Mus musculus: one gene and its partner. Each later gene encodes a partner of the first gene's protein in a complex. Links are inferred from orthologs where the notes say so. Each region holds a gene or a part of one and is shown on either strand. Other genes may lie near its edges. The genes, in order: Serpina10 and Proz.

Region 1 (4,483 bases):
GGATGAAGGCAAAGCTACCCTGGCTGAGGCCCAGGTCCCGGTTGCTGGAGAAGGTCTCTTTGACCTTCTTGAAGAGGGCTGGAAGGATCAGGGGTCCTGCTTGGCTCAGGGCCTGTAGGTTGAGTCCATTTTCTATCTGGACTTTGGTCTCTCCCTTGGTCCCCAGCATCAAATTCACCATGGCCACAGACAGGCCAAAAGGTGAGAAGATCACATTGCCGTCGTGCCTCATGGAGATCTTTCGAAGCAGGTTGAACCCAAAGCTTGAAGTCTCATTGGAGAGCTGCTGACTGGCCCTCAGCCAATATTCCTCATCCTTGCCTTCCTCCTTTTCCTCCTCCTCCTCCTCCTCCTCCCTGGGATCAGTCCGTGTGTACTCTTCCCAGGTTTGATTCTCATAATCCTGAGACTCCAGGTGAACGGAAGCCTCTGGTGAATGGGAGCTGAGATTGAAACTAGTCACCAGCCACACCTCTGTCAGGAGGACAGGAAGAAAGAGGCTAGAAGCCACCCTCATGTGGTCAGCTGTGGAGGCCAGGGGCCACTTCCCTTCATCCTAGGCAGAGAGAAAGACAGAGAATGAATGAATGAGAACGAAGAATATCTCAGCACCTAATAAAACATCTTTGCCAGGCAAAAATTTCTCCCATGATTCTTCTTCCTTCCTACCAAGTTAAGTGTGGGCTCCCCTGGCTTGATCACAGGTTAGCTATACCCTAGACTGACCTAGAGCATATAGGCGGTGTATTCATCCACCTGGTTAGGGAATGGGGGCATTTTACAAGACTTCTTCCAAGTCCCATCTTCTTGAGCAGATCCTTGAGCAATGTGTGGTCCCTCCCCCAGTTTCTGTTCCCTTGCTTTCCTCTGGCAGGGCCAAATGTGGCCCTTTGGTCTAGAGCAGGATCAGGTGGGAGCTGGGGCCATTAACTGAGCTGCTTCGAGCTTTTCCTTTATCATTTGGCTACTAGGCATATCAAACAGCCCCTCCATGCTGCGTCACAGAACCTTAATATGGGACACCTTTGACTAGGGATTTGGAGGGTCCAAGAGGGGATCCAGCAAAGAAAAGGAAGCCTCCCCACAATTTTCTGACTTAAGCCGGTTCTTTCCTGAATCTCCTGTACACAGTTCCCGATAGGTCTTCTTTCAGTCCTCTACCCACAGCTCCTAGGTGGCTGCAGGAAACACAGCCGATTCTTTTTCTACACAAGACCTGGGTTCAAGTCGCTCAGTCTCGTTGCCCCTCCCCCCATGGCACACACTGGCTGTCTGTGCCCCAGTTCTGCAGCCTGAGGGAGTCTGCCCTGGTAGCGACTTTCCTGCCCCACCCCGCTCCCCGTGACTGTCTGTCTGCCTCTCTTGAGATTCATCTGTGTGCTCAGATCCGAAACCTGGCTCTGAGTTGTGCCACTACATCGTGTTCACAGCAATATTACCAGTGTCCTAGAGGCTGGCTGCCTATGCCACTAAGATGTTCCCAATAGCTCACTCTCTGCTGGACAATAGGAAGATCTGGATGGCAAGATGCTCAAGCCATAGGTGTTGGGGATGCTTGATAGGTCCCATCAGCACAGCCCCTCACTCTGACCATTAGACTCTAAGTCAGAATGTGACAAGAAGCGCTCCAGTTGCTCCCAGTCCCTCTTCTGTACCCGTAACAAACCACATCCAGCCCCAAGACACAGGTCTTGCTAAATGACCCCAAAGAAGCCAGCATCCCCACTTTCTAGCCTGGATAACCCTGCTGGGTCTCCCAAATGTTACCATTTAGGAATTGCTTCCCAGCCATAATGATGAGGCCCCTTAGTAGGTCACCACATTGCTGTAAGCATCGGGTCATTACTTCTTTCCAGGTACGAAACATCTCCAGTGTCATACATTCATCTTTTTGTTTAAATGGACAACTTGCCTTTAGTCCTTCACAACTCAAAACTGAGGCCATATCCTCCAAGGTGAGGCTATGGCAAGGTGGGGCCTTTGAGAGTGACTAGATGATGTCTGAATTGTGGGGCGATTGTGAGGGCTTTAGTGTCCTTATAAGAAGAGGAAGAGACACCAGAGCCTTCCTCTCTCCACCAAGAACACACTGAGAAGACCACCATCTGCAAACCAGGAGGTGAGCCCTCATCACAGCCCAACCATGTTGTCCCTCACCTTGGGCCTCCAGAACTGTGCAAACACATTTGCACATTTGTTGGCTATTCTGTCCCAACAGCCTGAGCTGCCCCGGGAGAATTCTGTCATGGTATTTAGCTCTGCTTTGTAAATTAAGCGCTCAGATTAGTCCTGATTCCATAGTTACTTGTCATTGTCTCGGCCGTCAGGAACATTTCCCAACACACCAGCACAATGTCCCACTTTCCTAGAACTAAGTCGTCCCCTGAAGTGTCTCTGTAGCACCTGACCGTTGCTGCGCCTGCTTACTGAAGAGGGTAACTTGTCTTTTCAGGTCCCTCATCATCATCATGACAGCCATACACAATATACACGGGGTGCTCCTGGGACCTAGGGCAGCGTCGGGTGTATAGAGGGCACACCTTGTCCCACAGAGTTTGAGATGGGCAGGAAATAAGCTACCTACCTGACACTTAGCCCTGAGCATGTGTGTAGAGCAGTGCCTCCCTTACCTCCCCCCAGCCCTGGCTCACTTGCTTCGGCAGTGAGCTGTGGCAGACAAATACCAGGCCTTCAGAGCCCTTGCCCTGGCTGCCTCCTATCTATGGCTAACATGTTTTTGATGCTACCCGGAGCCCAACTTCAATGTACAGTCCTTTGGAGTTTAGGTGAAAGACAGCATTCTTGCCCTCTAACTCCCCCACCCCACCCACTCCCTGCTGAAGCCCACTGGGAGAGAGAGAGTGAGAGCGAGAAAACAGCTATTCTCCCACCTCTCCCTGGTAGACACTCTAGAGGCACCCCTGCCATCCACCACCTCTTACCAGTCCTGGACCTCTGGTGCCGAGAAGATCATTCAGAGCAAAGAGGCAAGCAGAAGCTTTGCAGCCCAAAGCCTTCAGTAAATATTTGTTATTCCAAAGTGTGGGCCTCTGGGGACTGTTACTGATTAACACCCTGCTGGGATATGATTGCATTTCCAGAAAACCAAAGAACTTCTGGTATTCCCCAGGCTCGTCCTATGGCCCCAACTATGACCAGAATTCACAAGAGTCTCACCCTCATTGGGGTGGGGATGAAGGTTCTAGAAAGAAGGTTATCATGGGCCTCATGGCTGCTTCTGGGAACCATAAAGGGATTTGGGTAGAATTTCAGACCCACTGTCTTGTCCGTAAGGAACTGTCAGTCCAGTAATGGAGACTGGATTCCTGTTGGGTCATGTCTTACAATACAAGCCCTGCACAAGGTCAATGTACTACCTTCTGTCTCTTGAGGCTGAACCTCTCAAGTACTCAGAGCCTGAGCTGGAAAGCACCCTGTGAGGTACAGCTTTTCAGACCTACTAGGTTGTCATTGTAAGTTTTGCTATATGTCCCTTTCTAGCCTTGAAGTGAGACAAAGTTTATATACCCTACCCACAAAATTGAAAAAACAACAACAACAACAACAATCAAAAGAGAAACAGCAGCAGCAGCAGCAGCAGCAACAACAACAACAACAACAACAAACCAGCGATGGGGTGTGGTTATAGCTCAGTTCGTTGAGTGTCTCCAGGTTTTGGTCCCTAGCACTGCATGAAATAAGGCTCAGTGGAGCACACCTGTTATCCCAGCACTATGGAAGTGGGGGCAAGAGGATCAGAGGTTCAAGGTCATTCGTGGCTACATAGCAAGTTTAAGGCCAGCCTGGCTACATGAGACCCTATCTGAAAAAAAATAAATAAAAGGATTTCTCAAATTAAAAAAAGCAGATAAGAAACAGTAATGTTCCAGCTATAACATGAAGGCAAAAGAAAATAACGCCTTTAAGTACAGCGGTGTTCCAGGATATCTGTGCTGGCAGATGTGACCATCTATCTGCTCATCTCATGATGGAGGACACTCATTGGACAGGAAGGTAGCCATTGAGGAAGAACTCCATTAAGCAATGCACTGGCTGACAGGAAGTTTGTGGCCTGTCATCCTGAGAGGCACCTTGCTTGAAAGCAGACTAAGGAGTGGCATGTGATCACCGGCTGGCAGGCCCCTCCTCACAGGTAGAGGTGGCTAGCTGACACATCTCACCTGAACCAAGGACTCCCAACACATTTTCAGTTTTTCAAACCACAACATAGACATGGATTAGTATATTTTATTAAAGATCATCAACATTGCTGTCTTAGTCAGGGTTTCTAGTTCTGCACAAACATCATGACCAAGAAGCAAGTTGGGGAGGAAACGGTTTATTAAGCTTACACTTCCATATTGCTGTTCATCACCAAAGGAAGTCAGGACAGGAACTCACAAATAGCAGGAACTTGGAACAGGAGCTGATGCAGAGGCCATGGAGGGATGCTGCTTACTGGCTTGCTTCCCCTCGCTTGCTC
Region 2 (4,545 bases), on another chromosome or scaffold:
AAATGTCGAACTCTTACCTGACCGTTTAGTGTAAATGCATGTGTGAGAAAAGATGTTCCTTAATCATGGGCCATGGGGAGTGTTCTTGCTGTGAGTCTGTAAGGGGAAAGTTTCGTCTTTCTAAAATTCTCCTGGCACGTGCAAGCAGCAGAGAGCGGTGCTTTGGCTGTGGTGTGATTGGCAGGTCTCCCCAGCAAGGCAGCCTGACCAGAAGGGAGTGGGGTCCTCACCTGCTGCTGAGGCTCTTGCTGCATCTCTAGGTCTCCTTTTTCATGTGTGAGGTCAGGCTTGCGCCAACCCCAGCATAAGGAAACGAACTAGTTAGTCCTGAGACAATTGTGCATGAACTGTTAGACAGCACACGGGCACTGAGGGCTTTCGTACCGTGATGACGTCATTTTCAAACACTTCTCTTGCCTCCTCGTAGTTGCAGACTTCCTCATAACACTCCTTCTCCAAGTTTCCCTGGAAGATTTCTTCCAGGAAGTACGAACTACCCCGCCTCCACCTCCGCAGAACGTTGTTTGCCTTCGGGGCTGGAAGAAACACTGTAGAGAGGCAGAACAGTGTGAGCAGGGGGCCCTCTCTCACCCAGGACCTCAGCTAGCGTACGCTGTTCCCCACTGGTCAGTAGGGCCTGCTCTGTGCATCCTCACTCCTCGGCTGGGCGTGTACTTTCTCTTGGTTGAGTGAGTGGATGGCCCTTGTGAGTTTTAGGCAGACACATTGGCATTTTATGGATCGAGGATCCAGGCCCAGAGAAGCCACGCTATGTCAGCTGCAGTAGGTGAGAGTCCATGCCCCCTCAGCTGCGGTAGGTGAGTGTCCACACAGAAGCATGAAGACATGGGCAGGCACACCATCCATCGTCTGCCTCAATGTTATCTACCCTGGCACTTTTCAATCTTGGTGTCACAAAAATGTAACACCCGTGGACAGATACACAGTAGGTCACCAAGTGCTTTATGGAGAGTGGAGGGCATCCTTGTGTGAACAAGAAATACAGGAATATATTTGCTTGCATATGCTTGGCCAAGGGAGTGGCACTACTAGAAGGTGTGGCCCTGTTGGAGTAGGTGTGTCACTGTGGGTGTGGGCTTTAAGACCCTTATCCTAGCTGCCTGGAAATCAATATTCTGCTAACAGCCTTCAGATGAACTTTTAGCTCCTCCCACACCATGCCTGCCTGGATGCTGCCATGTTCCCACCTTAATGATAATAGACTGAACCTCTAAATCTGTAAGCCAGCCCCGATTAAATGTTGTTCTTACAAGAGTTGTCTTGGTCATGGTGTCTGTTCGCAGCAGTAAAACCCTAACTAAGACACAGGGATCATGTGGCTTCTCCACAGTAGGAAGGAGTCCTGAACAGGCAGACAGACAGACAGCTCTGGGCTCAGGGAGCACTAGGGTAGGCTAAATTGCTCCCTTAGGCCCAGCTCAGGCCCACATGGTTTTCCTTCCTGCACATTCATAGGGCAGAATTGGGCTCTGAGTGCCTCGTACCCATGCTGCCATCTTGGACTCTTTGGGCAGTGGTCTGAGGAGAGAACAGCCTGCCAGAAAGATGGACACAGCTTGGTGTTGATGTGGCAACAAGGCTTTGTCCACAACAACGACAGATGCCATCACAGGACTTAGAGATCTGGTCCTACTCACCAGGAGCATCCAGCTCACGGTCACTGTCAACAGCAAGTTAACAGTGCTCTCTCTCTCTCTCTCTCTCTCTCTCTCTCTCTCTCTCTCACACACACACACACACACACACACTCCACTGTGCAAGGTACCAAGTAGTCCCATACATGCAGATCACAAGGCTCGGCAGGCTCAACCCTACAACTGTGATTTTCTGAGCACCTTTGTGTTCAGGCCCGGGTGAGTGCGGAGAGCCGGCAGACAGAACTTGCCCATGTGGGCTCCATCCTCACAGGGAGTTAGCATTGAGCAAACTTCCACAGGAGTGTGAGGCATGAACGGAGGGAGTGTGGAAGTCAGAGAGAGTGGAGGTCAGCGGCCTGGAACCACACACAGATGGCCCTGAGGAGACTTAGAGAGGCCGGGAGTGCCACAGAAAGCTTAGATGCTCCAGGGTGGAGACAGCAGGGTGGATCCAGGCCCAGGCTAGCTGTCCCGCAGTCCTCTGGCACAGAATAAGAACATCTGGCACATAGACAGGCTGCAGCCTAGCTTTGGCTAAGGGGTGGCCAGCCTGGTCTCATCCTGCACAACTTAGGCTGTACCACACTGACTTTCAGGAGGGAGAATGAGATCATGGCTTGTCCTTTCAAGCCCCTAGAGACCGGATCATCTCTAGAACCATTGAGTGTCCCAAGGATGAGATGGCTAGGTCTGGTGATTCATTCCTGTGGTTCTAGCATGTGGGAAACTGAGGCAGGAGGATTGCCAAGAGCTGAAGATAGACTGAACTACATAGTAAGTCCTAGACCAGCTTGAGCTATAGAATAAGACTCTGCCTTAAGAAAATGTTTTGCCCTTCAGTTACTTGATATGCCAGGATGGGTTGGTACCCGGGGGGGGGTGGGGCTCCCCCTTTGCAGAGGAGAAGGGGAGGGGTGGGGGAGGGGCTGTGTGAGGGGGGTGCCGGGAGGAAGGGAGGTGCAATCAGATTCTAAAGTGAATAAATAAATTAGTGGGGAAAAGCGAGAACATTTTCAAAAGAACAAAACAGCAAGTGCCTACCGGAAAGCTCCACCTGGTGCAGGATGAGGGTAAGGATGAAGCCCCGGAGCAGCAAGATGCAGCCAGCCATGCTAACCCAGAGCCTGGCTGGCCCAGGCAGAGCAAAGTCTGCAAACAGCCAAAGTCCAGGGCCCTGGGAAGCACTGCGGTCAGTGTGTGCCTCAGAACACACAGAGGCTAGCCTAGATGACCCATGGACCCAGAGGCTCGGGGAGGAGGCTCACTCTCATTCCGCTCCTTCCGGATTTACTGTTAGGGAGAGAGAGACGTGGAGGGGATCTCTGCACAGGTGGGCTCATTTCCCCCACAAGGCGCCTTCCTGGGTCCGGGCACAGCAGTGAGTGGGAAGGATGCCACCGCAGGGAATATGTAGTCTTACAGAGGAGAGGCAGGTAGCATTAACAGGGAAGGGAATTTTACAGTGCAAAGTTCCATGATGAAAATGGGCAGGTGAGAGACCTTGGTGAGAGTGCACAGCGGGATCTGAGACATGCAGGAGGAAGCCAGCTGGCGTGTCTGGAGCCAGACGCACAGGGACGCTGGAGTAGGAGGAGACGAAAGTATCGTGAGCAAATGTGTCCTATCAGTGCAGCAGGTGCCTGTATCTTTGGTTGAATGAAGGACAATCACAGGGGCAAAAATCTAATGACACCTATAAGCACAATTATTTATTAAGGTAGAGAGTGAAGAAGACAGAGAGGGCAGCACCCTATCTTCAATGCATACACTGTGGAGTTGTTTTTAAAAAGTTGGATGAGAAACAAATTCAACTGTACCTTTCGTGAGTGACCCAAGCTGGAAATTAATTTTCTAGGATCAAGCAGGTGACGTTCAAGCAGTCTTGAGGTCTCTCTGTGCTGTGTCTTAGGGAAAGGCTGAAGAGATCTGTCTGTGGGGATCCATCCCACGTGAACATTTACACACTGTTAAAAACTAATCTCAAAACCAAGAACAGCCACTTGAGAAGAGGGGTCCAAATCCTTCCCGTCAGCACTCAGGGAACTCTGAGGAAGGAATGCTGGGAAATTTGTAAGAGCCCGAGGTAGACACGAGACAACAAAGAAAGTGGGCCTTCTCAATACAATGGGATGGACACACGTATGGACACAGACACGGGGCAGCGTGCACACATCTATGCCAGACGGCTCCCAGGCTGGGAGGGGAGGTAGACACAAACCCCACTAGGAACCCAGAAGTTCTCTCCAGTTGGCAAGCACTCTCAAAGGAAAAGTTCGTTTTCCCCAATGGAGTCCCACTAGGAAGACAAACCACACTTAAAGGCAGGTCTCATGCCCAGCAGATGGCCAACACAAACCAAGCTCAATGGTATTTTCTCAGGGTTGGTTTGTTTATTTGTTTGACTTTTCATTTTTTTATTTTTATTTTTTTTGTCATCATCTGGGTATGTCTTTCTTACCTCACAGGTCATCTGTTTACACATTATAGCTTCTGACTTTTTTTTCCTTTTTTTTTTCTTTTTGTTTTGGTTTTGGTTTTTTGAGACAGGGTTTCTCTATGTAGCCCTGGCTGTCCTGGAACTCACTCTGTAGACCAGGCTGGCCTCGCAGCTGAATGTGTGGCCTGGACTAAAAGTCGGTCTTCCCCCTCAGAAGATCCAGATTAAAAGTCGGTCTTCTGCGCCCCCACCATGATTCAATCAAGAAAGTGCCCAGACACTAAGGTCTCAGTTTATTTCAGACAGAGTCAGTGATGCCAAGAAGAGCCATCACAGGCCTTAAGCTTTCAGACTCAGTGTCTCTGGCCTCAGCTATTTCTGACAGTTCTGTGCTAATGTCACCTAGATCATGTTTTTTTCTGAAGAATTTTGTCCTTTGTTTTCCCCTGC

The links.
Region 2: the proteins of Serpina10 (region 1) and Proz are in contact, whole or in part, in a crystal structure (PDB 3H5C), measured with the Homo sapiens proteins. The link is inferred for Mus musculus from reciprocal best matches to the Homo sapiens genes SERPINA10 and PROZ. Residues at the interface, in NP_001094077.1 of Homo sapiens: Arg88, Lys89, Ser91, Met92, His94, Asp95, His257, Asp259, Lys260, Tyr261, Asn282, Phe283, Lys305, Met306, Asp308, His309, Leu310, Ala311, Leu312, Asp314, Tyr315, Leu316; in NP_003882.1 of Homo sapiens: Cys129, Pro131, Cys141, Leu142, Pro143, Ser151, His250, Met251, Arg252, Asp254, Ala257, Glu259, Asn260, Glu284, Lys285, Asp286, Phe287, His290, Leu291, Thr336, Thr337, Arg338, Arg390, Ser392, Leu393, Trp394, Gln397.

The regions. Positions count from the first base shown.
Region 1 is NC_000078.6:103,628,442-103,632,924, forward strand, and holds the start of Serpina10 (protein Z-dependent protease inhibitor isoform 1 precursor), read right to left. Parts: upstream 3,004-4,483; 5' UTR 2,943-3,003; intron 557-2,942; 5' UTR 518-556; coding exon 1-517. UniProt on the Homo sapiens protein: Inhibits activity of the coagulation protease factor Xa in the presence of PROZ, calcium and phospholipids. Also inhibits factor XIa in the absence of cofactors.
Region 2 is NC_000074.6:13,059,254-13,063,798, reverse strand, and holds the start of Proz (vitamin K-dependent protein Z isoform 1 precursor), read right to left. Parts: upstream 2,892-4,545; 5' UTR 2,770-2,891; coding exon 2,700-2,769; intron 549-2,699; coding exon 385-548; exon of another isoform or gene 255-384; coding exon of another isoform or gene 231-254; intron 1-230. UniProt on the Homo sapiens protein: Appears to assist hemostasis by binding thrombin and promoting its association with phospholipid vesicles. Inhibits activity of the coagulation protease factor Xa in the presence of SERPINA10, calcium and phospholipids.